Linked DNA regions of Oryctolagus cuniculus. The protein of the gene in region 1 purifies or fractionates together with the protein of each later gene. This does not show direct contact. Links are inferred from orthologs where the notes say so. Each region holds a gene or a part of one and is shown in the gene's direction. Other genes may lie near its edges.

What was found.
Region 2: the proteins of MPHOSPH6 (region 1) and EXOSC8 purify together in Homo sapiens (affinity purification with mass spectrometry; 4 studies listed by BioGRID and IntAct, counting the BioPlex papers as one, with this or other methods). This does not show direct contact. The link is inferred for Oryctolagus cuniculus from reciprocal best matches to the Homo sapiens genes MPHOSPH6 and EXOSC8.
Region 3: the proteins of MPHOSPH6 (region 1) and EXOSC7 purify together in Homo sapiens (affinity purification with mass spectrometry; 4 studies listed by BioGRID and IntAct, counting the BioPlex papers as one, with this or other methods). This does not show direct contact. The link is inferred for Oryctolagus cuniculus from reciprocal best matches to the Homo sapiens genes MPHOSPH6 and EXOSC7.
Region 4: the proteins of MPHOSPH6 (region 1) and EXOSC6 purify together in Homo sapiens (affinity purification with mass spectrometry; 3 studies listed by BioGRID and IntAct, with this or other methods). This does not show direct contact. The link is inferred for Oryctolagus cuniculus from reciprocal best matches to the Homo sapiens genes MPHOSPH6 and EXOSC6.
Region 5: the proteins of MPHOSPH6 (region 1) and EXOSC2 purify together in Homo sapiens (affinity purification with mass spectrometry; 8 studies listed by BioGRID and IntAct, with this or other methods). This does not show direct contact. The link is inferred for Oryctolagus cuniculus from reciprocal best matches to the Homo sapiens genes MPHOSPH6 and EXOSC2.
Region 6: the proteins of MPHOSPH6 (region 1) and EXOSC1 purify together in Homo sapiens (affinity purification with mass spectrometry; 5 studies listed by BioGRID and IntAct, counting the BioPlex papers as one, with this or other methods). This does not show direct contact. The link is inferred for Oryctolagus cuniculus from reciprocal best matches to the Homo sapiens genes MPHOSPH6 and EXOSC1.
Region 7: the proteins of MPHOSPH6 (region 1) and DIS3L purify together in Homo sapiens (affinity purification with mass spectrometry; 3 studies listed by BioGRID and IntAct, with this or other methods). This does not show direct contact. The link is inferred for Oryctolagus cuniculus from reciprocal best matches to the Homo sapiens genes MPHOSPH6 and DIS3L.

The regions. Positions count from the first base shown.
Region 1 is NC_091449.1:64,159,174-64,163,130, reverse strand, and holds the start of MPHOSPH6 (M-phase phosphoprotein 6), read left to right. Parts: upstream 1-1,157; 5' UTR 1,158-1,330; coding exon 1,331-1,381; exon of another isoform or gene 1,382-1,610; intron 1,611-1,621; exon of another isoform or gene 1,622-1,832; intron 1,833-3,957. UniProt on the Homo sapiens protein: RNA-binding protein that associates with the RNA exosome complex. Involved in the 3'-processing of the 7S pre-RNA to the mature 5.8S rRNA and play a role in recruiting the RNA exosome complex to pre-rRNA; this function may include C1D.
Region 2 is NC_091440.1:77,082,283-77,086,512, reverse strand, and holds the start of EXOSC8 (exosome complex component RRP43), read left to right. Parts: upstream 1-1,430; 5' UTR 1,431-1,553; coding exon 1,554-1,570; intron 1,571-2,841; coding exon of another isoform or gene 2,842-2,857; coding exon 2,858-2,894; intron 2,895-3,092; coding exon 3,093-3,156; intron 3,157-3,817; coding exon 3,818-3,891; intron 3,892-4,230. Other genes in the region: ALG5 (dolichyl-phosphate beta-glucosyltransferase), read right to left, coding at 404-680. UniProt on the Homo sapiens protein: Non-catalytic component of the RNA exosome complex which has 3'->5' exoribonuclease activity and participates in a multitude of cellular RNA processing and degradation events.
Region 3 is NC_091441.1:102,789,516-102,793,015, forward strand, and holds part of EXOSC7 (exosome complex component RRP42), read left to right. Parts: intron 1-751; coding exon 752-853; intron 854-1,137; coding exon 1,138-1,232; intron 1,233-1,680; exon of another isoform or gene 1,681-1,777; intron 1,778-1,783; exon of another isoform or gene 1,784-3,458; intron 3,459-3,500. UniProt on the Homo sapiens protein: Non-catalytic component of the RNA exosome complex which has 3'->5' exoribonuclease activity and participates in a multitude of cellular RNA processing and degradation events.
Region 4 is NC_091449.1:56,939,879-56,942,863, forward strand, and holds EXOSC6 (exosome complex component MTR3), read left to right. Parts: upstream 1-1,314; 5' UTR 1,315-1,388; coding exon 1,389-2,204; 3' UTR 2,205-2,485; downstream 2,486-2,985. UniProt on the Homo sapiens protein: Non-catalytic component of the RNA exosome complex which has 3'->5' exoribonuclease activity and participates in a multitude of cellular RNA processing and degradation events.
Region 5 is NC_091432.1:233,342,137-233,346,421, forward strand, and holds the start of EXOSC2 (exosome complex component RRP4), read left to right. Parts: upstream 1-1,485; 5' UTR 1,486-1,540; coding exon 1,541-1,662; intron 1,663-4,285. UniProt on the Homo sapiens protein: Non-catalytic component of the RNA exosome complex which has 3'->5' exoribonuclease activity and participates in a multitude of cellular RNA processing and degradation events.
Region 6 is NC_091446.1:32,396,791-32,401,074, forward strand, and holds the start of EXOSC1 (exosome complex component CSL4), read left to right. Parts: upstream 1-1,484; 5' UTR 1,485-1,608; coding exon 1,609-1,639; intron 1,640-1,746; coding exon 1,747-1,862; intron 1,863-2,973; coding exon 2,974-3,048; intron 3,049-4,284. UniProt on the Homo sapiens protein: Non-catalytic component of the RNA exosome complex which has 3'->5' exoribonuclease activity and participates in a multitude of cellular RNA processing and degradation events.
Region 7 is NC_091443.1:89,283,800-89,287,299, forward strand, and holds part of DIS3L (DIS3-like exonuclease 1), read left to right. Parts: intron 1-252; coding exon 253-396; intron 397-1,394; coding exon 1,395-1,564; intron 1,565-2,397; coding exon 2,398-2,559; intron 2,560-3,500. UniProt on the Homo sapiens protein: Catalytic component of the RNA exosome complex which has 3'->5' exoribonuclease activity and participates in a multitude of cellular RNA processing and degradation events.

The DNA.
Region 1 (3,957 bases):
CAGTCTCCCAGTCACAGTCACAGCTGGAAGTACCAAGAATGAGGACTTTCAGCATATTAATTTGGGGGGACACAATCCAGCCTATGACATGCTCAACTCTATTGTTCCCACTTGGCAAACTCTGGTAAGAGGGCCTTTGTCTCGTTCTCAAGACCTTCATAACTTCTGTTCCCTCTTTTGAGTGCACTCCTCCTCCAACTCTTCATATAATAGGTTTTTCTCAATTTTCAAGCCTCAGTATCATCATCTGGTAAGGGTCATCCCAGACCACCTTGGTTGAAAGAAGCCTAAAAGTCACTCTATCACATCACTGTTTGCTTTCACCCATGGTACTCACCCCTTACTAACGTCCAGGGTGTCAACTCCAGGAAAAGGAATTCATGTATTTTTATGCACTAATGTACAGCAGTGTCTCAGTGAACTGTGAATGAAAGTTTTTGTGATTATTGGGCACATTATAACTTTATTTATTCCATTAAAAAAAAAAACCTGTAGGGTCTTTTAATACTCAAAACGCTTTGCAAAGCTCAACTTTTTAACATTTAGCAGCTGTGCAAACTCCAGGGAATCCCTTCTCTTTGGGTCTGAGAGTCCCTAACTACACAATGACAACAATATTTTCTCCAAAGGACTAAATAAAATAATCAGGTAAAGTACCCAACTCAAGAGTTTCACAGATACTGCATGTGATTAGCTGAAATTCTACGAGGTTAGATGTTTCCCAAAGTGTGGGACCTGAGAATGATGTGGGGAAAAAAATTCATAGACTTCGGGTGGCAAATAACGGAGCATCAGAGCTTTTCATTTTTCAATTGCTTGGATTAGAATAGGGTCTCTTCGGAGTCAGCACTGTGGCGCAGTGGGTTAAAGCCACAGCCTGCAACGCGTGCAACCCACGTGGGTGCTGATTCGCGCCCCGGCTGCTCCACTTCTGATACAGCTTTCTCCCTACGGCCTGGGATAGCAGTGGAAGACAGCGGTGTAGACGACTAGATGGCAAACACGCCAGAGGCCTCCCTCGGGCCACAAAGGGCGGGAAGCGGACCCCTGAGGCGGCGCGGCCCAAGTCACCGGGGACGGGCGCACGGGCCCCTTCCGTGTCCGGTCTCTCGGGGGTCCGCCCACCGGGTACCGGCCGTTCTCGGCCCCGCGTCGCCGAACCGCCGCCTTACCAAGAGCGCCTCAGGCGGCGGGACCCTCCCTGAGGGACGGCGCCCAGCGCCCGGCCCGCGCCGGAGCGCGAGGTCTGGGGGCGGGGCGACGCACGTTACGTACGACGACGCAGCGCGCACGCGGCAGCACGCACGCGCGGCGCCCCGCGGGAGCCAGCATGGCGGCCGAGCGCAAGACCAAGTTGTCCAAGAACTTGCTGCGCATGAAGGTGCGGGGATGCTGGGGGAGCCGGGCTGGGCAGTAGGGGACTCCGGTCCTCCAGACCCGCCCGGGCCGGCAGCGGGCGTACGGAGAGCACCAGCGGGGGGCCCAGGGGGGCTGCCGGCTGCTGGGTCATTCATTCCCTGAGCGCCTGCCCCTGCGCTGGCACCGGGAACTGAACTTCCCCGTTTAGCCAGACTCGCCCCTTCAGCCCGCGGACAGGAGCCGGCACTTCCGTAAGCAGGCAGGAAGCCCACGGCGTTCCGAGGGCAGGGTCGGGAGGCGCTGGGCGCCGGGGGCTGCTGGCCGGAAGTGTGCGGCGAGGATGCCGCGTCCTGAACCGAGAGGAAAGCGAGGTCGGGAGGGCGAGCGGCGAGAGCGAAAAGCGGAATGTGTGCACTCGTAGGAGCCGAGGGGAATTCGGAGTGCCTGGGGGCACGGAGGGAGTTGTGGGCCAGGTGAAGACTGGTTTTCCGTTCGTCTTGTGAGCCGGGGAAGCTATGGGGCGCGAAGCTGTCAGCTTCTCCGGCTGCTTTGGTCCTGGGGAGAACACGTTGGTGGGGGAAAGCCAGGCAAGGGGCAACAGTGGAGTCAGACCCGCTAGAAGCCCTGGTGAGCCGAGTAAGGGGTGAGGGTCGCAGGGGAGGTGGGAATGAGGTGAAAAGGGTGGGTTGTGTCACCCCGTTTTAAATCGGGTTTTGGATTTGAAACTGAAGTGATTTTTATATTTGAAATGGAGTCAACCTAATTGTAATTTCATAGTGGAAAAGTTAAAAAGGAGGCAGTGGATAAAACGAACCCGGGAATGACCACAGGGAAGCAGCAAAGCCTGAAGACTTCATTCATGGCTCTTAGTCTCTGCTGTGTGCCAGGTGGATTTTAAGTGTCTTGCATCTATCTATTAGCCCATGTAATTTACATAGTAACCCTCTGAGGTGGCTACAGCCATTATCTTTCTTGTACAGCTGAGGCAACCAAACAGCAGTAGGTAACTTACCGCAGTTACACAGTGACTGAGTACTAACTTGGGCATCCAGGTCCTGAACCCCTGATCTTAAGTACTACCCTTTGCTGCCTGTCACTACTTCTGGATGCAGACTGTTAGATGTCGTGCCTATATAGTGCTGGAATGTCCAGGAAAAACAAGGCATCAGTAATGGAGAGTAAACAGCGCTTGTGCAAGGTGTGACTGGCGTTCAGGATGTACCAGGATGAGTACTGGATGGAGTCAAATTGTTGCGTAACTTACAGCTGGTAAAGTTGTCTCATACATGTGAGCAACATGTGAGTCTTGACTGAATAGACTTTTCTTTTGTTGGTGGTTTGTAATCGTCGATTTCAGAGAAATGGAGTGAGTTGATTGAGCACACATTGAAAAGATTTTAGTGTTTCATTTAGTTCTTGTAATAGGCCAAGTGAAGATGTGCTGGTGAACTAGGGCTGTGTCTGAAGAGCTGACTCTGCAGTTAACAAGAAGGAAATGAACTTAAAACAGTTACTACCCCCATCCAAGCAGAAGGGAAGAGGAAGACTTAACTGGATGTAGGAGCAGAGGAGAGGGCAAAAAAATTATCCACATTCTCTATTTGGGGTTAGCAGCTTTGGTCATTGGTAAGAAAGAGCTTATTGATAGGATGGCAGGAGACACTAAACATGCCGATGGAGTGGAGTGTCCTGCGTGAAGGCATGGGGCATCTGTGCCCCGGATATGATTATAGCTGCCGTAACTGTTCAGCTAGAGCCAAGTAGAGGGCAAGTATGAGAGCACTGACTCATTTGTTTTCAGTGTTCTTTAACTCTTTTGATTGAGTTAACTGTTGGAGGAGGAAGCTCTTGGTGGGAAGTAGAAAAAGAAGGATACAGGTGGAAAGTCACTAGTAGGACCCAGTGATTGTAGAGAGGATGTGTATTTGCAATTTTAACTCTTTTGGAGTCTTAGGACAGGACTTGGTGAACTTCTTTGTTTGTTTGTTTCTTAAGATTTATTTGAGAGGCAGAGAGAGAAAAGTCTTCCATCTGCTGGTTCACTCCCCAAATGGCTACGACAGCCAAAGCTGGGCCGATTCAAAGCCGGGAGCCAAGAGCTTCTTCTGGGTCTCCTACACGGGTGCAGGGACCCAAGGACTTGGGCCATCTTCTGCTTTCCCAGGCCACAGCAGAGAGCTGGACCAGAAGTGGAGCAGCCAGAACTCAAACTGGCACTTATATGGGATGCTGGCACCGCAGGTGGTGGCTTTATGCCTTACGCCATAGCGCTGGCCCTGAACTTTGTCTGTGAAGGGTCAGATAGTAAATGTTTTTAAGCTTGTGAACTAGGCCAAATGAGCATGGCTATGTTACAGGAAAACTATATTTGCAGCACACATCCAGCCTGCTGTGGGCCTCAGTTCTGAGTGGAGGCTAGACCACTGGCTTTGCCGTGTGTTCTCAGATGCTGGGGGGTTAGGAGAGTTTGGGAGAAGCTTGATTCATATTCACAGGGTGTTCTGTCATTTCCAGATCTACAGAATGTATCATAAAAAACAGCTACTTGATCATAATGGGAGATCAAAGGTCAGTTGGTCAGGATTGATGAGTTTGACC
Region 2 (4,230 bases), on another chromosome or scaffold:
CCATCAGGATCACAGGGCACATATTAGGGGGTCCAAACGCCCTCGGGGTGGGGTGAGGGCAGAACTGCAGAGGCTGCAGGTGCAGGAAAAGCAAGTCTGGAAGATGGAAGCATAGGTCGAGGCTGGCAAGCTGGGTGGGCAGGGGGTCTCGGACCAGGGGGCGAGCAAGGCCGGGACGAGTGTATGGGTTGGTGAGTCCAACGTGGCAAAGTTTACAGGGTCCCGGGCACAGAGTTCCAAGGACAGGAGGAACTGAAATCCAGGAGATGGAACTGGAGTCAAGCGGGGAGAAAACGGACTAGTTCAAGAAGCCGCAGCACCCAAAGAGCGGACGCCCTGGGCGCCTGCGGCTGCAGGGGAACGGGGAGCCCAGGCCCGCGCCGCTCCCGACCCCTGTCCTCACCAGTATGAGTGCTGCGGCCGCAAGCGCCACGCCGAGCACCGCCAGCTGCAGCAGGAGCGGAGCCATCCTCCATGCCGGGGCCGTCTCCGCCGCCCTCCCTATCCCGCAGCTCCACACACGCGGAAGTGCGCCCGCGCGGGCCCGCCTCCCGCCGCCAGAGAGGCCGCGGCGGCCGGGCGCCCTCCGCCCACAGCGCCCCCGCGCGGCCACGGCCGGCCGCGACCCGGGCAGGCGCCGACGGCGAGGACGCGCCGCGCGGCTGGGCCAGGCGCTGCATCCGCGGAGAGGCCGCAGACTGCAGGGCGAGCTGCGTTCGGTAAGTCAGGTGCACGAGACGTCCGCTTGAGTTTCAGCTCAACAACTAATAATTTTAACGGCCTTGAACTATGTAACTCGCATACGGTGCAGTCCACGCATTTAGAGGTATGGGTTCTATTACTATTTTAAAATTCAGGTTAAACAGATTTGGCCGTTTTAACCATGTGGAGTGCACAGTAGAGTGGTGTTGATTACCTTCGGAACTCTGTGCAACCATGTCTATAGCTAAAACTTGCCCTGTTCATCCCAGCTCCTACTGACAACTAAGGACATGCACTCCTACTAGAATGGTCAACCTTGTTTTCCCAATCTTCATTCAGATTTAGTTGGGTGGCCTGTACTGGACCTGGCAACCCTGCCTGGGAGGCAGGACATGGTGGATTAACGCACACTGCTCCAGCTCCTGGGCTTGCACAGTGTAACCTGGAGAGCAGCACGCATTTCCGAGGTGCAGGAGCTGGCAGCCCCTCACCTGGGCCTCGCCTGAGATGGGGAAGAGACACGGGAGCTGCGCACGCACTGTGCAGCCCTTGGTATAAGCTGTTGTCTCTTAAACTGCTGGCGTTATTCTGAACCCTCAACCTTTCCTAAAGAACACCCTTTCACTTCTCTGATGCCAGATTCGTCAAAATACGTGCAAGGCAAGGAAACCTAGAGGCGCATCCGGCTCGGGAAGGCCAAGGCCAAGCGAGCGCCACCACGATACCGCGCCGCCAAGCGCACCTCCAGCGGCTGCGGGAAGGCCCCGGCGACCGCCGGGACGTGAGAGCTCTGCGCAGGCGCGCGTGCCGGTGGGCGGAGCGGCGCAGGCGCAGGCGCGCGCGCGGGGAAGATGGCGGCCGGGTTCAAGTGAGTGTCAGTGTCTGGCGGGCCCGAGTTGTGGACTCTGGCGCTTGGGGGTTTCCCCAACCCTTAGTTAAGATTTTTCTCGCCTGGAAGTCGACCCCGCCAAGGTCCCGTTTTTTTCCCCGCCAAAGCAGGCGACAGGCGGGAGGACCTGGAGGTGCCCCTGAGTGGAGACTGGGGATGTAGGGACTGGAGCGCGTGTGAGCCCGCGGTGCAGGGAACGCGCACCCGGGGGACAGTTCTGTAGCCCCGCAAAGATTGTTGCATCGAGCCCCCTGTGCCCGGTCCTCCGGGTCGCGTAGTGTGTTTCCGAGGGTTGTGCGTCCTTCAAAAGGTTTGACTTCAAGCCTTTTTTGGGTGCTATTCTGTTGAAGCCTATTGACTCTCCGAGTAAGATGTTTTCTAAGGTTTTTTTTTTTTTTTTTTTCACTTGGGAGACATATGGATAGAGCTATCCATCCTCTGGTCCACTCCTCAGATGTCTGAAGCTGGGAGCTGGACAGTCCCCTCCAGGTTTCCCACGTGGGTGGCAGGAACCCAAGTACTTGAGCCAGCCCCTGGGTTCCAAAGGAAACAAATCATATTGAAGTTATTATAAACTCTTTAGGATATAAAATTAGCTTTCTTAAGTAGTAGGGCGTCCAGTAACTCCGGGAATTTCAGAGTAAAGATGAACCTCAACATGCACATGAAAGTAAAAAATCAGAACATTATCTCTGCTAAAGTTGTAGGTACTGCTGTTATTATAATGGTTTATTGCATGTTTGCAGTCATAACTGAACTCTATGCTAAAGTGTATGCTGAATTTCAGTTACAATAAATGAAGATGTGGCTTTTTTCATGATCACTAGGTTAAGAATCCCTGTCTCAGAGCAAAAGTGATTATTAAATGATTATTTTAACTCATAAATTAATCCTCTTTCAGACATGTCAAAGGACTCTGGATTCCAGTGCTCTGTTTGTTTAAGACAGTTAAAGGCAGCAATGGGGTGTGATTGCTACTGTAAGGGTATATACTTTTTATAATTACAAGGTTACTTCAAAAGGTTCATGGAAAATAAAAGAAAAATTTATTTTCATGCTCCAAATTTTGAAATCCATGTAGTTTTTCTAATACACACTTTTTTTAAAACTTTTTGAAGATTCCCCCATACTTGCAGGCAGCAACATGAACATCAAAATGCGCAAAAGAAACTTAGTTACAAGTTGTGGAGGTTTATGCTGTATCACATTTTAAAATTCTTTGCCAGTTAAGACTCATTAATTTACTTCAGTATTAACGTGTTTCAGAACTGTGGAACCTTTGGAGTATTACAGAAGATTTCTGGTGAGTAAAGGTGGTTATGTATGTGCTATTTTGATAATATATTATTACAGTATATATAATATGTAATATTCTTTTAAAGACATATTCCAAGTAATTTAAATTCATTTGCATTAATGGGGTTTAATGTGTCTCCCCTGGTGTGTGTAAAATACACATGACAATATAACATAATCTCTTATAAGTAAACTTTCTATTTAGAAAGAGAATTGTCGCCCTGATGGAAGAGAACTTGGTGAATTCAGAACCACAACCGTTAATATAGGTGAGGATGTGTTTTCCAGCTACAACTGTATGACATTTGCAAGTTTTAGCCTTCTGAACCACATACATGGTTTTTGAGCCAAATTTATCATATCCGAGGGATTTTTTTTTTTTTTTTTGACAGGCAGAGTGGACAGTGAGAGAGAGAGACAGAGAGAAAGGTCTTCCTTTGCCGTTGGTTCACCCTCAAATGGCCACTGCGGCCAGTGCACCGTACTAATGCGAAGCCAGGAGCCAGGTGCTTCTCCTGGTCTCCCATGCGCGTGCAGGGCTCAAGGACTTGGGCCATCCTCCACTGCCTTCCCGGGCCACAGCAGAGAGCTGGCCTGGAAGAGGGGCAGCCGGGACTAGAACCCAGTGTGCCGGTGCCGCAGGTGGAGGATTAGCCTATTGAGCCGTGGCGCTGGCCAATGATTTTCTGTACTATTCAGACTGAAAAATTGATTCAAATTCAAGGATAGGTGAATAATTCTAAAAACATTAATTTAATTTGTTATACCATTTTAAAATCAGTTATTCAAACTTGGAATCAGTTTTTGCAAGCAACAGATACGTAGCAAGATAATTACACATGGCAAACATGAGACACAGAGTTTTAATACTTATTTAGGTAATTCTGTAACTTTTCCTTTTAGAGACTAATCATTCTGTTTACTTTTCAGGTTCAATTAGTACTGCAGATGGTTCTGCTTTAGTGAAGCTGGGAAATACTACAGTAATTTGTGGAATTAAAGCAGTAAGTTTAACATGTGTCCCATTGAGATTTGAGCTACCAAATTAGCTTCCTGTATTTATTAAATTGTAATATACACCTATACCTCTGTGATTAGGCATTCAGGTATGTTTTTTAGTATTTAGTTGCTCAAAAAGCTTTTACCAGTGAGTACTAGATCATATGACTCAAGTTTAATGACTCTTACGCAAATCTGTCAAATGTACTAAAATGAAGCAACTTTTTCAATCCTCATCCTTAATTTTAAATAATATATCAGTTAAGAAATTGAGGGAAGTGTTTGGTGATGCCTTTTAATAGTGAGTGATGGTATGTAATCTGCATAAATGTGTAGAAAATTGA
Region 3 (3,500 bases), on another chromosome or scaffold:
TTCAGGCCAGGCCTTTAACCCTCTGCGCCACAGCACCGGCCCCAAGATTTATTATTTTCAAAGTCATAATTAGAGGGAGAGTTAGAGAGGGAGGTCTTCCATCCACTAGTTCACTCCCCAGAAGCCACTATGGCCAGGCCTGGGTCAGGCCAAAGCTCAGAACCAGGAGCTTTAGCCAGGTTTCCCACGTGGGTGGCAGGAACCCAGACACTTAGGCCACATTCGGTTGTCTTCACAGGTGCATTAGCAGGGAGCTGGATCAGAAGTGGAGCAGCTGGGGCTAGACCCAGTGCCCCTATGGGATGCTGGTGTTGCAGGTGGTGGCTTTACCCGCTATGTCACAATGCTGGCCTTGGGCAGGTGGGGAGGTTTTTTTTTTGTTTTTTATGTTTTGGTGGTACATCAGCTCCTTTGAATAACTTATAAACTAATGATTCTTTTTCTGAAAAAAAGAAAAAAGCTTCCAAACCTGTTTGGGTTTGACTTTTGGGTCCATATTCTGGTGGTGGTTCATCCTGTGAATTGCAGTGCCAGACACACCAGCTGAAGGACCTGCAGTGAGACTCTTAGTGCCCCCCACGTCTCCATTTCCCTTATGGTAATATTAGCTCAGAGGACGGAATTCTGGATGTCCCACTAAGAGGAAGGGAGAAGCACTGTATACTTCTCGAGCGGAAAGACAGCAGCGGATGGGTCAAGGAGTCCGGTCATTTTGGGGTCACAGCTTTAGGACTGTGGTTGTTGCACTCAGGAAGACCTCCGTGTGGATGGCCGTGGCTGTGAAGACTACCGATGTGTCGAAGTGGAAACCGATGTGGTGTCCAACACCAGTGGGTCTGCCAGGGTCAAGCTGGTGAGTATTGGGGCCACAGTTCATTCCCAGGTGGAGACATGGGTAGGCCCCAGGGAGCCAGTGCAGAGGAGCCCTTGCGGCTTTTGGAATGCAGCTTGCTCCTGGGGACATCCAAGGTCCAAGCCCAGCTCAGGGAGGGGGGTCCATTCAGATCTGAAACACCCTTCCCCTCCTCGGAAGTCACCTGCCAAGTCCTTCAGGGCTACATGTCCCGAAGAGGAGGCTGGTGGTTGGGTGCCTGGCTGCCTGCCTCCAGTGAGGACCCTTCTCGTCTGTGTCTGCAGGGTCATACCGACATCTTGGTGGGAGTGAAAGCGGAAATGGGGACGCCAAAGCTGGAGAAGCCAGATGAGGGCTACGTGGAGTTCTTTGTTGACTGGTCAGTACTAATGCAGTGCTTTCAGAGGGGGTGATTTAACGGGTACAGATGGAGAATGGGAACCCCTGGTTTCCTGTGGCGCATGCTCTTGGTTTGCATTTAGTTGTCGCTCGGCCATCTGGCAGGTATTCACTTGCCTCGTCTTACCTGCCGGGTTCTCAAGAGCCTTGCCCTTGTTTTAATCATCTAGTGACTCCAGCTTCCCACCAGTGCAGACCTTGGGAAGTTGTGGTGATGGCTCAAGTAATGAGGTTCCTGCCACCCACATGGGAGACCTGGATTGCATTCCTGGCTCCCAGCTTCACCCTTGGCCTAGCCCAGGCTCTTGTAGGCATTTGAAGAATCAACTAGCTAATGGGATAGTGTGCTTCTCTGTCTCTTTCTCTCTGCCTCTTCAATAAATCTTTTTAAAAGTTATTTCTCTCCCTCTTGTTATCTCCCCCTCTAGGGGTTGGGAGTGTTTTTGGATTGCTGGCCTGGTCCCTTCTTCTGTCTATAACCATGTTTCTAGAAGCAGGTGGTTGTAGCAGGCCTTCCTGAAGCAGGTAAGCTCCTGCTCCATGTGGGTGTTTGGTGTTGATGCTCCGCTGGGCGTCCCCAGGGCCACTTCCGTGTTTGGAGACTGGCTGCCAGGGCTTAGCACGTAGTTGCACTCCTGGCTACAATTTATGATAGCAATGAAAATAGGAGCAGTCTTCAGAATGTGTGTGGAAAATACATATTATGACACACTGCATGGATTTTAGAATTTTTTAAAAAGATTTGTTTATTTGAAAGAGTTACAGAGAGGGAGAGACAGAGATCTTCTATCTATTGGTTCACTCTCCAAGAGGTTGCAACAGCAGGGGTTGGGCCAGGCCAAAGCCAGGAGCCTGGAACTCCATCCAGGTGTCCCACGTGGGTGGTGGGGGCCCAAGCATTTTGCCCATCTTGCACTGCTTTCTTAAGAGCATTAGTAGGGAGCTGGGTAGGAAGTGGAGCAGCAGAGACTTGAACCAGCACTCACATGGGCTGCCAGTGTTACAGGTGGCAGCTTAACCCACTGTGCCACAGCGTCAGCCCCTCACAATGGTTTTTTTTTTTGTTTTTTTTTTTTTTTTTTTTTTGACAGGCAGAGTGGACAGTGAGAGAGAGAGACAGAGAGAAAGGTCTTCCTTTGCCGTTGGTTCACCCTCCAATGGCCGCCGCGGCCGGCGTGCTGCGGCCGGCGTGCTGCGGCCGGCGCACCGCACCGATCCGATGGCAGGAGCCAGGAGCCAGGTGCTTTTCCTGGTCTCCCATGGGGTGCAGGGCCCAAGCACCTGGGCCATCCTCCACTGCACTCCCGGGCCACAGCAGAGGGCTGGCCTGGAAGAGGGGCAACCGGGACAGAATCCGGCGCCCCGACCGGGACTAGAACCCGGTGTGCCAGCGCCGCTAGGCGGAGGATTAGCCTAGTGAGCCGCGGCGCCGGCCCCTCACAATGTTTTAATACCATTTTCCTATAGCCTTTTCGAAGTGCCCTTGTACACCAGCTACTTGTGACATTTGTGTCTAGGAAACCCCGTGAGACTGAGCACCCCAGGTTTTTGCTGGGTGCTGGTCACATAGACACCCTCTGTTTAATGCATCCCAAGATTCCGGATCCTAGGAGAGCAGGTGTTTAGCATGACCCGTACTGCATGGTCTCGCACAGTGCACTGCCCCATCAGTTTGCTGTTGACTGGGAACTCTGAGAGCCAAGTTCCCAGATGCCAGCCAAGGGCCAGCCCACAGACAGGCTCTTCTCAATCTCCCCTTGCCACCGTGTCCGCGCTTTGTACAGTGCTAACCCATGTTCAGGTGGTGAGTTACACAAAAGGTGGTCCTCACAGCACTCCTGCTGTCATCTCGAGAGAGATGACAAATGGAGTTCAGAGAGTAAGAGACTTCCATAATATCACATAGCTAAAAATGCCAGCTCAGGTCTGTCCATTCTCATGCAGCCTACAGAGGCCAGCTCTCAGGAACATTGCACTTGGATGTCAGGAGCTGTCCACGGTCACCTTTCTGCTCAGTTATCCTTCCAGCCGGTTGCTACCATTTCAACTGGCTTCTGGTTCCTCCTAGCTGCTCTCACTAGTCTGAATTGCAGATGGCCCATTCTCTAGGTTCCTGTGGATGCTCCTGGAGGAAGCAGACTGCCTCTCCTGGCCAGGATCTGCCCGATGGAGAGCAGTAAATGGTTCTGAGGAGCAGGCAGCCCGGGTGAGGAACTGTGATTTGCTTTCTGCTTCCTCCCTCTCATTG
Region 4 (2,985 bases), about 7.2 Mb from region 1:
ACCCGAGGCTTCTGGGTCTGCAGGTGGGCACTTGTGCTGCAGAGAATAAAGGACCATGTGCAATACTCATTGATGCCTTCTGGTCATTACCTCCCAGCATGCACCCCTGCTGACAGCTCTTGGCTACCCGAGGGTGTGTAAAACATGCTGACTCCAGCTCAGTCCAGCCCTAAACCCTTGAACTCAGTGTTTGTGGAGACGGGGGTGAGATGGAGAGAGAGGCTCTAATAATTCAGTGGTCCGAGGGGTTACAAAGCAAAGGTGCGCCTGGAGAACCTCCATTGTTTTTTTCTTTTAAAGATTGATTGATTTGAAGGGCAGAGTTACAGAAAAGCAGAGAGAGAGAGGTCTTCCATCCACTGGTTCACTACCCAAAGGGCTGCAGTGGCCGGAGCTGTGCTGATCCGAAGCCAGGAGCTTCCTCCAGGTCTCCCACGCGTGTGCAGGGGCCCAAGCACTTGGGCCATCTTCCACTGCTTTCCCAGGCCATAGCAGAGAGCTGGATTGGAGCAGCTGGTCTCAAACTGGTGCTCACATCGGATGCCAGCCCTGCAGGCGGCGGCTCTGGCTCATGTCCCTCCCCTCCCTCTGAAGCTCTTCATGTGGGGTCAGGGTATGAGGCTGGAGGGCAGTCTCTGGTACAGAAGATGTTTAAGGTGCAGCTATTGCCTCCTACTCTAGTGTCTGCCCATCACTCCCACTTGACCCAAAGACACTGGCCGGTCTCTGAGTCCAGTTTCCCCAAGTCTAAAATGGCAGAGTTTGGAAGGTGAAGGTACTGCTTGCCTGTGCCAGCCCCAACGGATGTCCTGTCCTCTGGATACAGCGGCTGGCCCCAGAGCCCAGGTCACGGTGCTGCTGACAGTGGAGGGAGAAGGAAAAGCAGGTGCATGCTGGGGTGAGGGGCGGTTCTCAGGGTGGGAAGGGGAGGCAGAAAGGGGGTGTTGATGTCCGTGTTAATGATACAAAGAGACTTACATAAAGCCAGTGCTGGAGAGAGATTCCATCCATCATATAGGCCTTCGTGCCAGCCAGGGGCTTGGGAGTGAGCAAGGCCAACTCCCCGGTGGGGACATATAAAATAGTCCCACAGATTAGTGCAAAACTAAGATAACTACAGCCTGCATAAGTGAGAAGACTAAGCGCTCGGGTAGGACCTGGCCTGGGAGACAGTCAACCGGCCCGTCCAGCCCTGGGCAACCTTGCTGCGGCTTCAAAGCCTTGGCGCCGCAGCCGTTCTCCCTCCACGGCGCCAGGGGGCAGTGCAGCCGCGACTGCCTGCGGCTCTCCCGACAGCCCCCGCGCGAGCGCGCGTCTTCAAGCGGGCGGAAGAGCCGGAGCGCGCGGTAGGACGACGGGCGGAAGCGGTGTGCTCGCCAGGTGCCGCCATGCCCGGGGACCACCGCCGCATCCGCGGACCAGACGAGTCGCAGCCGCCGCAGCTGTACGCCGCCGACGAGGAAGAGGAGCCCGCCGCCCGAGACCCGACGCGGCTGCGGCCGGTGTACGCGCGCGCCGGGCTGCTGAGCCAGGCCAAGGGCTCGGCCTACCTGGAGGCGGGAGGCACCAAGGTGCTGTGCGCCGTGTCGGGCCCACGCCAGGTCGAGGGCAGCGAGCGAGGGAGCGGCCCTGCCGGCGCCGGCGGCGAGGCCCCGGCCGCGCTGCGCGGCCGCCTGGTCTGCGATTTCCGCCGTGCGCCTTTCTCGGGCCGCCGGCGCCGGGCGCCTCCGGGCGGCGGCGAGGAGCGCGAGCTGGCCCTGGCGTTGCAGGAGGCGCTGGAGCCGGCCGTGCGCCTGAGCCGCTACCCGCGCGCGCAGCTCGAGGTGTCGGCGCTGCTGCTGGAGGACGGCGGCTCGGCGCTGGCCGCCGCCCTCACGGCCGCCGCCCTCGCCCTGGCCGACGCGGGCGTCGAGATGTACGACCTGGTGGTGGGCTGCGGCCTGAGCCGCGCGCAGGGGCCCACGCCCGCCTGGCTGCTGGACCCGACGCGGCTGGAGGAGGAGCGCGCCGCCGCCGGCCTCACCGTGGCCCTCATGCCGGTGCTCAACCAGGTGGCCGGGCTGCTGGGCAGCGGGGAGGGCGACGCGACCGAGACTTGGGCCGAAGCCGTGCGGCTGGGCCTCGAGGGCTGCCAGCGACTCTACCCGGTGCTGCAGCAGTGCCTGGTGCGGGCCGCCCGCCGCAGGGGCGCCGCCCTGCCCTGAGCCGGCGGGCGAAGTGGAGCCGCGAGCGGACAGAGCGTGCGGAGATGGACAGTTGCGTTGGAACGGCTGTCGACAGACGAACGTTTGACGATCTTTCCAGTCCCCAGCCAGAAGCCAGCGCAGGAAGCCGCGGGCTGCTTGCTTACTCCCGAGCTGGGAAGGACTTGAGCCGGCCTGGTCCGGAGCGCGGGATCTGTGTGACTCCGGAGACGATGGACAGGGCGCTGCGCCTTCTCACAGCGGGACTGAAACAACAAAACCGTTTTTTTTTGTATTCGAAATACGCGTGTCGTGGTTCTTAGTACAGGATTTTCAGAGAGAGCAAGGCTCCCTGGCGGTGAGGCTCAGGACAGCACTGCCCCGCCTGTGTCGTGTCCCTTGGACCGGTGAGCCGACCAGACGGGCCAGAATCCTGAAGCAGCTGCGGGTTTAGAAGTGGGCCGTGTGCTTGGCAGGAAGACACGCCGCCGCCTCCGGTGCCCGTGAGGGCGGCTGCTGCGCCGGGAGGAGAGTTGGACGGCCCGGGAGCACTCGGGGGTCCCGGAGCTCATGGCTGTGCCGCGAGAGGCCCCAGCGCAGGGTTCCCGAGAGCTGGAAAGGGTTTTGCTGGGGGTGGAAGCCGGATCCCAGCCTTCCGTGGCCAGGGCCACAGCAGTCCAGTCAAAGGCCTGCACTGCCGCTGAGTGGGCCCCTGGGCTGCCTTCATCTGCCCGTTGTCCAGCCTGAGCCCCTGGGGAGAGGGCGGGTGAACTGGCTTCTGGGAAAGCAGAGGAGCATGGCT
Region 5 (4,285 bases), on another chromosome or scaffold:
GGAGGGAGGGGCAGAGGGAGGTGGGGGAGGGGAGGGGACGAGGAGGGAGGGGGAGGGGATGAGGAGGGGCCGGGAGGCACAGCTCCTTTAAGCAGGAGTGGCAGATAAGACCACACGGGACAGGCATCGCTCCACCGGCAGGGACTCCTGTGACGTGACAGGCAGTGCCCGGCACGCGGGCGGAGGCTGCTGTGGGCACAGACGCAGGTGCAGGCCTTGGTTGTGTGTGCGCATTTGCCCTCTCCACCACACACACCTGCCTCGCGGGGTGTGGCCTGCTTCGCTTCACTTCTCTTTCTCTTTTTTCAGAGAAGTCAGCTGGCTCAGCAGTGTCCGGCGTGCTGCCTGTGGGTGGGGGTGCGGGCTGGGTTGACCCAGCAGCCGTGAGGCGGCTGTTCTGACCGACTGGGGCCACTGGGAACAGTGTGAAGTGGGGCGCTTGGGGCTGGCGCCAGGGCACAATGGGTTAAGCCATCACCTTCTATTCTGGCATCTCATGTGGGTGCAGGTTCAAGTCCCGGCCGCTCCACTTCCGATCCAGCCCCCTGCTAATGCTCCTGGGAAAGCAGCAGGGGATGGCCCAAGTGCTCGGGCCCCTGCACCTGCATGGGAGACCTGTGGGGGGAGTTCCTGGCTCCTAGTTTCTGGCCACTTGGGGAGTGAACCATCAGATGGGAGATCTTTCGCTGTCTCTCCCTGTGGCTTTGCCCTTCAAATAAATCTTTTTTCCCTAAACTTGGAACACTGCTTTAGAAATTGCTTGGCTCCTTAAACACTGTCTTTTTAAAAGCATTTATTTATTTGAAAGGCAGAGTTAGAGAGAGAGAGAGAGACAGAGAGACAGTGAGACAGAGAGGTCTTCCATCCACTGGTTCACTCCTCAAATGGCTGCAAGGGCCAGAACTGGGCCAGGCCGAAGCCAGGAGCTTCCTCCAGGTCTCCCACGAGGGTGCAGGGGCCCCAGCACTTGGGCCATCTTCCACTGCTTTCCCAGGCGCATCAGCAGGGAGCTGGATGGGAAGTGGAGCAGCTGGGCGCCCAATGGGAAATCAGCGCTGCAGGCAGCGGCTTACCCCCACTGCGTCCCAGCGCCAGTCCCAATAAATCTTTTGAAAAAAAGAAAGTATGGCTATGCTTTCTGTTGAAATCGTGTCCTCCTGGGCGCTGTCATACAAAAATCAGATTTTAGCGGCTTAGAGCTGGACGGAAACTCAGAGGCCCATTCCTCAATTACGTCTAACGCTGGTAAACAATAAGCAGGATGGCAGTACCAGACAGCTTTGATAAAAAGCCACAAACAATAGCTTGTGGAATGCCATCACGCCACAGGTGCACCCTTGCCAGTAATAAACGTGGAAACTCCGCATTCCTCCCCTTCGGGTTAACATAACGGTTGCCAGTAGTCAACATGGCTGCCACACCGTGCGCTCCCATTGGCGGCTGCCCTGAGGCCCCGCCCCAGACCGCCCCTCTCGGAGTTGCCGGGCTGAATTCCGCGGCTCCGGGCCGAGCTGCGCCTGCGCAGGTTATTGGCGCCAAGATGGCGATGGAGATGCGCCTTCCGGTGGCGAGGAAGCTTCCCAGCGAGAGTCTGGGGCGTGATACCAAGAAGCACCTGGTGGTGCCGGGGGACACGATCACCACGGACACGGGCTTCATGCGGTACGGGGGGCCCCGGGGTGCAGGGGGCGGCCGCAGGGCTCTGCACGTGATCTGCGGGCCCGACCGGGGCCCAGGGCAGCCCCTCGGCGTCGTCTGCGAGACGAGTCCCTGACGCCGCCTCGCCTGCACTCTGGCGGCCCCGACTCTGGGGGTCTGAAGCGCCGATCTCTGGGCGTTCCTTGCTGGGGGCGGGAGGAAGGGGACTCTACGGGTCCGGCCGTGTCCGGGGGCGGGGGCGGGAGGAGGGGGACTCTGCGGGTCCCGGCGGTGTCCGGGGGCGGGGGCGGGGGGCGGTAAGTCGGGGTCTCTGCGGGTCTCGGCCGTGTCCGGGGGCGGTAAATCGGGGTCTCTGCGGGTCCCGGCCGTGTCCGGGGGCGGTAAATCGGGGTCTCTGCGGGTCCCGGCCGTGTCCGGGGGCGGTAAATCGGGGTCTCTGCGGGTCCCGGCGGTGTCTGGGGGCGGGGGCGGGGGGCGGTAAGTCGGGGTCTCTGCGGGTCCCGGCGGTGTCTGGGGGCGGGGGCGGGAGGAAGGGGACTCCGCGGGTCCCGGCGGTGTGCGGGGGCGGGGGCGGTAAGTCGGGGACCCTGCGGTTCCCAGCCGGGGGCGGACGGAGGGCAGACTTGGCTTCCCTCCTCCTCCCTGAGCCCCCCACCCAGCTTGGGCCCGGGGTAGGGGTCGTTCCTGTGTGGGCTTAGGAAGACTCAAGGTTGCATGAACTACCTTGCATGAATACACGCTGTGCCGCAGGGCAGTGCAGGGCCTTGTAGTTGGGGGACAAGGGGGGCTCCCCGCCTGCCAGTCACCTTATCAGAGGTCCGGTTCCTGATCTGTAAGAATTTCTGACGGGAGTTACTGAAGGGTCGGATGGGAAAGATACAAGACTCACCGTTAGATCGCCGGCAGAGATAAGCACTGGCAGTGTTTCAGCCTCTTGGTTTTTTGTAGGAATGCACGTTTGCCGGGTGTACATCATCTTCAGCATCAATATTTGTTTATTTTTATTTATTTGACAGGCAGAGTGGACAGTGAGAGAGACAGAAAGGTCTTCGTCTGTTGGTTCACCCCCCCAATGGCCGCCATGGGCCTTGCGCTGTGCTGATCCGATGGCAGGAGCCAGGTGCTTCTCCTGGTCTCCCATGGGGTGCAGGGCCGAAGCACTTGGGCCATCCTCCACTGCACTCCCGGGCCACAGCAGAGAGCTGGACAGGAAGAGGAGTGACTGGGACTCGAACCCAGTGCCCATATGGGATGCCAGTGCCACAGGTGGAGGATTAACCAAGTGAGCCGCGGCGCCGGCCCCTGCTTATTTATTTTTGAGAGAGACAGAGTGTTGTTTCACTTCTCAACTGCCTGCAACCCTCTGGCTGGAGCCAGGAGCCAGGAGCGCAACGTGGGTCTCCCACGTGGGTGGCAGAGAGCCAGTCGCTTGAGTTGTCACTGCCGCTTCCCCGGGTCTGTGTTCGCAGGAAGCCGGAGCCAGCAGTCAGACCCAGGCACCAGATGTGGGAGGCCGGCTTCTTAGCTACAGGCTGAACACTTGCACGCCCACCACCACTCCCCTAACTTCTCCCGGGGCTCCCGGGCAGGTGCAGGGGCCCAAGCACTGGGCCCTCCTCTGCTGCTCTCCCAGGCCATAGCAGGGAGCTGGACGGGAAGTGGAGCAGCCAGGACTTGAACTGGCACCCACATGGGATGCCGGCGCTGCAGGCGGAGGCCCAACCTGCTGGCCCCACCCCAAGTTTGAGGTTGTTGGAATCTCCGAAATGTTAAAATTCATTCCTGTGTTCGTACTTTCGCCATATATTTGTAGTCCGTGTGGTCTGGGTGTAGCAGTGAACAAAATGAATTCTGTCCTGGCGGAGTTGGCGTCTGGGGAGACACAGATAGTGAGGAATATGTTGGCCGGCGCCGCGGCTCACTAGGCTAATCCTCCACCTGCAGCGCCGGCACACCGGGTTCTAGTCCCGGTCGGGGCGCCGGATTCTGTCCCGGTTGCCCCTCTTCCAGGCCAGCTGTCTGCTGTGGCCAGGGAGTGCAGTGGAGGATGGCCCAAGTGCTTGGGCCCTGCACCCCATGGGAGACCAGGAAAAGCACCTGGCTCCTGCCATCGGATCAGCGCGGTGCGCCGGCCGTGGTGGCCATTGGGGGGTGAACCAACAGCAAAGGAAGACCTTTCTCTCTCTCACTGTCCACTCTGCCTGTCAAAAAAAAGAAAAGAAAAAGAAAAAGGAATACGTTAGCACAACAGCAGACAAGGAGTGGGGTCAGTGTTGCGGCACCAGGGGTTAGGCCATGGCTTGAGGCCCCAGCAGCCCGTATCCCAGCCCAGGTTAGAGTCCCGGCTGCTCCACTTCTGATCCAGCTCTCTGCTGTGGCCTGGGAGGGCAGCAGAAGATGGCCCAAGGGCTTGGGCCCTGCACACACGTGGGAGACCTGGTGGAGCTCAGGGCTCCTGGCCTGGCTTGACCCAGCCCCAGCCCTTGCAGCCATGTGGGGAGTGAGCCAGGGATGGAAGATATGTCTGTCTGTCTCCCTGTCACTCTGCCTTTGAAATAAATAAATAAATCTTAAACAGCAACAAATAAGGCATAAATGGAGAGCGTGCTTGGGGATACGGCGGCAG
Region 6 (4,284 bases), on another chromosome or scaffold:
ACGAAATGGACTTCTCCCCCGAGGCGAAGCAAAATTCCAAACATCATGTGCGTCTGAGGAAGGGGCAATCTCAGTGCAGAGAGAAGGGAACAGAGCAAAGGGCAGTTCTACTATTGCACCAAGCACCAACCGGAGTCCTCCTGTCAGCAGCAGCCACAGGCTCTCGTGGCCATCTGCCATCATATTACAGGAGACTACAGGCCAAGGCACCTCCCTCTTCCCAGGGCTCTAAAGCGCCATCTGTTCCCAAGGGGAAACCAATGGGGGGAGGCGAGGGGACAGATTCCAAAGCCACTGGAAGGGAGATGAAGCAGCCAACGTCAGGGGCAGGCGTCTGGCAGTGATTAACACCCTCCTTGGCCTCTCATTCTCAGTCTTCCATTCCAGCTCCCTGCTAATGCGCCTGGGAAAGTAGCAGAGGATGGCCCAAGTGCTTGGGTCCCTACACCCACGTGGGAGACCCGGAAGAAGCTCCTGGCTCCTGGCTGGCCCAGCCCTGGCCATTGCGGCCATTTAAGGAATGAGCCAGTGGATGGAAGATCTCTCTCCTCCTCTCCATGTCTTCCTTTCAAATTAATTAATTAAAAAAAAAAAAATCCTGCTTCCATTGCATATGGAAGATCTCTGTCTCTGTGTCAAATAAATTTAAAAAAATATCAAAGTCGTGCCAATCTCATCTAGACAAAGATGCTGCTCTCAGGATGTGTGCAAGCTCATGCAAGAGATGTCAGAAGTCAGTAAAGAATAGCAACTTACTCACGTGCCCACTTCCCTTCCTGGCTAACCCGCTAAGAGAAAGGGTAGCAACTTTCTCACGGGTCAGTTCGTCAAAAGTTAAAGAAGGGCCCGGACAACTACAGCTGCAGAACGAGCCTTATCTTTCAGGTAGGGCGGCATGGTCAAACCGCGATGCACTGGAAGCCGAAAGCTTGGATCCGGCTTGCGCTCTATCTTGAATTATCTTCAAGGCTCGGGACAAGTCAAACCCTGGCGTTGGATTTCCAAATCTGAGAAATGGGCAAGTTGGGTTGGTTAACTTCTGCTCTGTGCGTTATGGTTGCCCAGAGGGTGCGCCTCGCCCGAGGACTGCTCGGCCTTGCAGGGCGGGGCGAGGAGAGCAAGAAACCAGACTCAAGACAGGGCCCTGGGGCAGGGCCCGACCCTACAAAACAGGGGCTATGAGAGGGAGCAAGGGCCACGGCTTCGCCCCTACCTGCCGCCTGCCAATTCCTCGATCATCCAAATCACGCCCCGCAGCCTCGGCCGCAGCTCACTGCCACCTACTCCAGCCTGGCGCCCCGGGCGGGCCTGGCTCAATCCGTCCCACCATGCCCCGCCAGCCGCAGCGCCTGCCAATGGACCCGGACCCGCCGCCTGCCCATCCTCAACCCTAGGCGCAGGCGCAGGCGCAGGCACACGAGCCCGAAGTTCCGCCCCCGGCCTTCTCCCGGGGAAACCTGGGAAATGGAGTTTGCCCTGCAGGAGGCGTGTCGCCGGGCACGTGACAAAGCCCGCCAATTGGCACGTTCCTTACTGCAGCACTGTGTCTGGGTTCGGCCAACGAGACGTCGGCTTCGTTTCCATCCGGGCTCTGGGACAGTGGCAGTCATGGCGCCACCTGTAAGGTACTGCATCCCCGGTAAGTGCACGGCTCCCGTACGGAGTCCCGGCTAGGGCCAGAGGCAGGAAGGCAGGACGCCTAGCAGCCTCTGGGGACCAGTGACCGATGCAGCGCTCTTTCCGCAGGCGAACGTCTGTGTAACTTGGAGGAGGGCAGCCCAGGCAGCGGCACCTACACACGGCACGGATACATCTTTTCTTCCCTCGCCGGCTGTCTAACGAAGACCAGCGAGAACGGCGCGGTACGCGGGGCGGCTGGCCATCTCCCTTCTTTGTCATGGACTGCCCTTGAGTTCCGGCCCTTAGGCCCGGGTAGGGCAGGCGCGTCCCTGTAGAACGACTTGGTCTCGGTTGGCCGTGGGCGCCGCACACCGGTCGTGTGGACCTCGCGCGGTTGGGGCTGCCGACCCCTAGGGGCAGCTGCGAGCTGAGAGTGACCCCGGCCAATCCGGCAGCCAGCCGAATCCCGCCCGAGTAGTCCCGACCTGTCCGTCTTCATCCGGCTCGGCGGCACTGCCCGCAGTGCAGTTGGCTTGCTTCCCCCGTGTCTCCTGCCATCCGCCTGAACGCGCGCCTCTCCTCGGTCTATGTAACTCTGACCTCGTTCAACTAGCCTCTCGTATCACTTTTTGGAAGGGATTTTGGCGGGGGTGGGGGTGGGGGAGGTTGAGTCTTGTTTTTATTTTGTTAAACTCACTTCCGAGCACTTGTTTCAGCCTGCAAACGCCCAAAGTTCCACGCAAGCAGGCCGCACCACCCACCTTACCTGCAGTGCCCGGCACAAGGCAGATGGTCAGTTGAATACATGAGCGATGTTGTCCTGGCCAGTTCCAGAGATCAAACCAGGACCAGCTCCCGATCAGATACGCAGTCTTGGAAGGAGCAGCTTAAAGATGGGTAGCACAGGAGAAAAAGGATTCAGAATTAGAACGTGCTTGCTCAGAAAGAAAGCCCTACAGATATTCTCTAAAGATAGAAGGAAACCAGTATCCAGTATTATAAAACACTTAGAAATGTTAGCCGGGCAATAAAATAAGAAATAGAAACAGTGCGACTTTGGAGGTCAGAATCAAATCCATGGCTACAGGTAATATAGTGGTGTACTGAGAAATTCCAAGTCACCAAAAAACCAACTCTGCTCTGGAATGGTTAACTTATGTCTTCTACAGCAGCCTTGCCAGGGCCCCCGGGGCTCTTCCTAATGGAAGACCCTCTGTCCTGGACTGTAAATGAATCCATAGTCCATCTGCCTTGTGACCTCAACTCTGTGCCACAGCATTCCTGTCGAACTCTCCAGCCACACTTTACTCAGGGCTTAGCCAGAACATTCATTTTTTACTGTTCTCTTTGTAGCTCCCGGTAGTGTCTGTGATGAGAGAAGCGGAATCCCAATTACTTCCAGATGTGGGCTCTATTGTAACATGTAAGGTAAGTTGTTACCAGCCTCCATGCTTAGGACACCAACCCAGTGCACAGAGCATGATCATTCTTGAACTGCATTGTCCAGTCTGATAGCCACTAGCCTCATATGGCTATTTAAATTTAACAGTGTCAGGGCAAGCATATGACCTAGCGGCTAAGACATCGTTGAAGTACCTGTATCGCATGTTGGAATGCTTGGGTTTGATCCCTGGCTCCATCTGCTGACTTCAGTTTCCTGCTAATGCAGTCTCTGGCAGGCAGCAGGTGGTGGCCCAAGTAGTTAGGCTACTACCACCATGTGGGAGACCTGGATTAAGTACTTGACTCCCAGCCTCAGCCACTGCAGGCACTTAAGGAATAAATCAGTGGGTGGAAGTGTTCTCTTTCTTTCTGTCTCTCAAATAAATATTTCAAAATATGCTAGACAGTACTAACATTTCATTAAGCATACTAACCACTCGCCACATTTCCAGCTCTCAGTAGCTACTGTGGCTAGTGGTTGCTAATTTGGTCAGCACATGGTATTTCTATCATCACAGAATGTCTCACTGGACTGAGTGGTCTGGAGATTTCTAGGAAAATGAACAAAATTTGGGTATGCATAGTTATTTGAGCCGATTCCCTGACTTTGTGGTTCCCTCCAACATCTAGGAAATGGGTGAAAAGGAGACCTAATTTTGAACATCTGTGGCTGCGGCCTTTTTCTGCAGAGAAGCAAAAGACTTTATTCTCTGGAATTCCTATTAAATGTAAAGTCTTTTTTTTTTTTTTTTTTTTTTTGACAGGCAGAGTAGACAGTGAGAGAGAGAGACAGAGAGAAAGGTCTTCCTTTGCCGTTGGTTCACCCTCCAATGGCCGCCGCAGCTAGCATGCTGCGGCCGGCGCACAGCGCTGATCCGAAGCCAGGAGCCAGGTGCTTCTCCTGGTCTCCCATGGGGTGCAGGGCCCAAGCACCTGGGTCATCCTCCACTGCACTCCCGGGCCACAGCAGAGAGCTGGCCTGGAAGAGGGGCAACCGGGACAGAATCTGGTGCCCCAACTGGGACTAGAACCTGGTGTGCCGGCGCCACAGGCGGAGGATTAGCCTAGTGAGCCGCGGCGCCGGCCGAGTCTTTTTTTTTTTTAAGATTTTATTTGTTTATTTGAAGGGGCAGAGTTAGAGAGAGAGAGATGGGAAAAGATCTTGCATCTGCTTGTTCACTCCCCAAATGGCTGCAATGGCCAGGTCTAGGCCAGACCAAA
Region 7 (3,500 bases), on another chromosome or scaffold:
AGTTCATAATGACCTATGGGTGGAGAAAGGGAAAAGCCTGGATAGTGCAAGGAGCATGAAATGGGTGGGAAGAGGGGCAGGAGAGGGGCAGGAAGTGGCCCCGAGGAGAGCAGAAGGCCTCCAGCCCCATCCTGCAGAAGCACAGAAGTGTGGCTCTGCCTTCAAAGGGTGAGGGGGTGAACAGGGGGACTCAGCCTCCCTGGAGTGGAAGCCCCCTTGACATCACGATTTCTCTGCTGCCCCAAACACTAGATTATGAAATCTTAATCGATGGGATAAATCCCCGGAACCGCGCGCTCCACGGAGACCGGGTAGCAGTGAAAATGTTCCCTGAATCACTCTGGAAAAGGAGAATGGGCGCGGATCACGAGGGCTACAGTGAATATGTGCCCACAGGTGAGCCAGCGATGCCACCCTGGCATCCAACCTTTGTACAGAATTGGGTATTTCTTTCTCATTAGCAATCCAAGAATAAGGAATTTTATTTAAAGTGGCAGACAAATTGTGATGTATGTACATATTGTAGAATGGCTGCATCGAGGAGGTAAACGGCATGGGACACATGGTTACCACTTTCCCCAAACAAGTTCTCATTGCATTCCAGCCTGTGCTCTGTTCGTTATTCAAAGCAGCTGCCACCTCCAGCCCTTTTGCATACCACATCGAAATACCTGGGTTCAATATAGGCTCAGATTCCAGCTTCCTTCTAATACTTGGGAGGCAGTGGTGATGGCCCAGGTCAGGTTCCTGTCACCCGCATAGGAGACCTGGAGTGAGATTCTGGCTCCTTGCTGTCCCTAGCCTTGTGGGTATTTAGGAGTGAACTAACAGATGGATGTGAACTCATTCTCTCTGCCTCTCTATAAGCATATTTAAATAGTTTAATTATTTTGAAATGAAAAGTGATAGTTCTATGCCAAGAACTCCATCAAGGTCTCCTACAGGGGTTGCACGTGGGTCATCCTCTGCTGCTTTTCCTGGGCCGTTAGCAGGGAGCTGAATCGGCAGCCAGGGCATGAACAGGCAACCGTGGGATGCCTGCTTGGCAGGCTATGGCTTCACCCAGCTATACCACAGTGCTGGCCGCAACAAGTTTATTTCTTCAATAAAAAAAGGGTGAAAATGATTTGACATTTCCAAGATACTGAAACCCGAAATCAGTGAGGTAATGGTAAAGGAAAAAGCAGGACCACTGGATTCCAAATGTCACCTCCGAACCCATAGAAAACTACCAAAATTATCCATGTAAAAAAAATCGGGCATCTACATCTTTAAAATTGCTAAGAAGGCAAATCTTCAGATTCCCTTGAATTAAGTGAAAGTGCTTGGAAAAATGGGACAGGGACAGTTAGATGGCAGCTAGCTGGCTAACCCTTGTGATTTGTTTTCCACAGGACATGTGGTGGGCATTACTCAGAAACATAAGCGGGATTACATAGTAACATTCCCATCAAAGGAAGACATACTATATTACAGCAGAAAAACAAAGAAATACCTTGCTGTGCCATGGGATTATAGGATCCCCAGAATTCGAATCAGCAGGAAGCAAGCTGAAAAATATCAGGTAAAGGACACTGCACCATGGCTGCCCTGCTTCTGTCTTTGCCAGCTTCTTGATCAGTGCCAGAAAGCATTGTTAATTCCTTTGCTCATAAATTATGGATGGCATCTGGCACTCCAAGGTACTGTTGGTTAAATTCTAAATATATAGGTACCATCTATTAAGTAGTCTAAGGCTAATAAATGAAGGCTTGAGTGTCCTAGAAAGCACTCTGTAGGACAGCCAGAGAGAAAACACATTATTCTGACCAATGGAGAAGCTTCCAACAGCTGTACCTTGCCAACACTAACTAGCTTTCTTCCAGCAAGCAAGGTAGAAATACAAGCCCTGTGCCTTGTAGGGATGATGTGGAAGCTCTTCAGAGAATCGATTATCTGTGAAGGAATATAGGTGGGAGGGAAGACAAGACTAGGCACTGTCCAGCATCACCTGCCTCCAGCTATGCAGCCCACTAGCCTGGTCATTGTCTCTTGTACACCTTAAGCCCTGTTACAGGCTCCCAGAGGCCTGTTTCAATGGCTTGCTGAAACTGCTAGACAGTGAGGGTCCTGTTGACACTGATGCCCCCACCCAAAAGGACCTTAAAACTTCGAAATACCTCCTACAATCTGAGACCTAGGTTCTAGAACTTTCCCTGAACCCTGCACCATTGTGTTCACAGCTTGTGCTGCAAGTGTGCACCATACCATCTGGCAAGTCAAACTCGCCAGCAACACACCACCCTGCAGACTGGCCACCCTCTATAGAACTGTCTCTGATCTCTCGTTAGCTAATGCTTTTAATAACCCACGGAACCCTGGATGCGAGGCTAATAATTTATGTACCTTCTCCTGCAGTTTTGCAGAGCAATTATACATATTGATTCCTGGGACACGGATTCGAGGTATCCAGACGGACACGTCGTAGGAACCCTGGGAACAGGCGGAGACCTGGAAGGGGAAATGAAGTCTCTGCTCATGGAACATGACATTTCCGAGCGGCCCTTCTCTGAAGCCCAGGTCAGATTCCCGGAGGCCTTTGGTCTAACGACAGACACGTTATGCACACAGCGACCCACTGTGAAGCCACAGATAACCCTCGATCAGACCCAAGTCAGTTTGAAGTGTAGCTCTCAAATCTGTATGTCCTACAACTATGTTTCAAAGTGGCAGGTCAGTGTCTCACGGTCAGGATAGGTCCACCTGGCAATTCGAGGATAGCTGGTTGTATCCCCAGCAGAGCCCCATCTACCCATCATTCAACCCCAGCAACAGGATGCATGTCTGAGCCTTAGGTCTGAAAGCAATGCTCATTATGAAGCTTTCTTAAACTTTACAGAAAACAGAAAGCCCACAAACACAACACATTGGCTTTTCCATCACTTTCACATCATTAGAAACAGATAATAAGCTATTCTCTTGAATGTGCTATTCACTGATAGGCTCTGCCAATGTGTAATAATTAAGCAAAAGAAACCTACTTGGTTTTAAAAGTTGATGGTAAATTACTGTATTTGTGCCCCTGCATGCTCAGCCATTTGGCTATTTGCCTGTTATTTCTATTCAGTATAGAATGCTACTTCTCATTTATAGCAACATTATACGTTAATTTGGTCAATCCTTCCCTTGGTAATCTCACGGTAAGGATTACCTTTTCCAAGTCAAAGGGCATAGAATGTTGAAGTAGCTTTGTTACTTGTTGGCAGACTGTTTCCCAGCTTGCACTGCCATTAGGGGTATGAGTTTTTGGCTGATCCAGAGCTATAATTGTCAAATATTTGAGACTGCTTTATGTCGTTTAAATTTTCATGTTTTACAGTAGTATTTTGTTGACTTGTTTGGCAGCTCTTACAGAATGATTCCATAAAGTGGGTTTAGAGGTCACAGGACAAGAATTCTCTCTTCCCTGTTAGCCTCAACTAACTGCAAGCTGATGGTCAAGACAGGGACAGGGAGAGAAA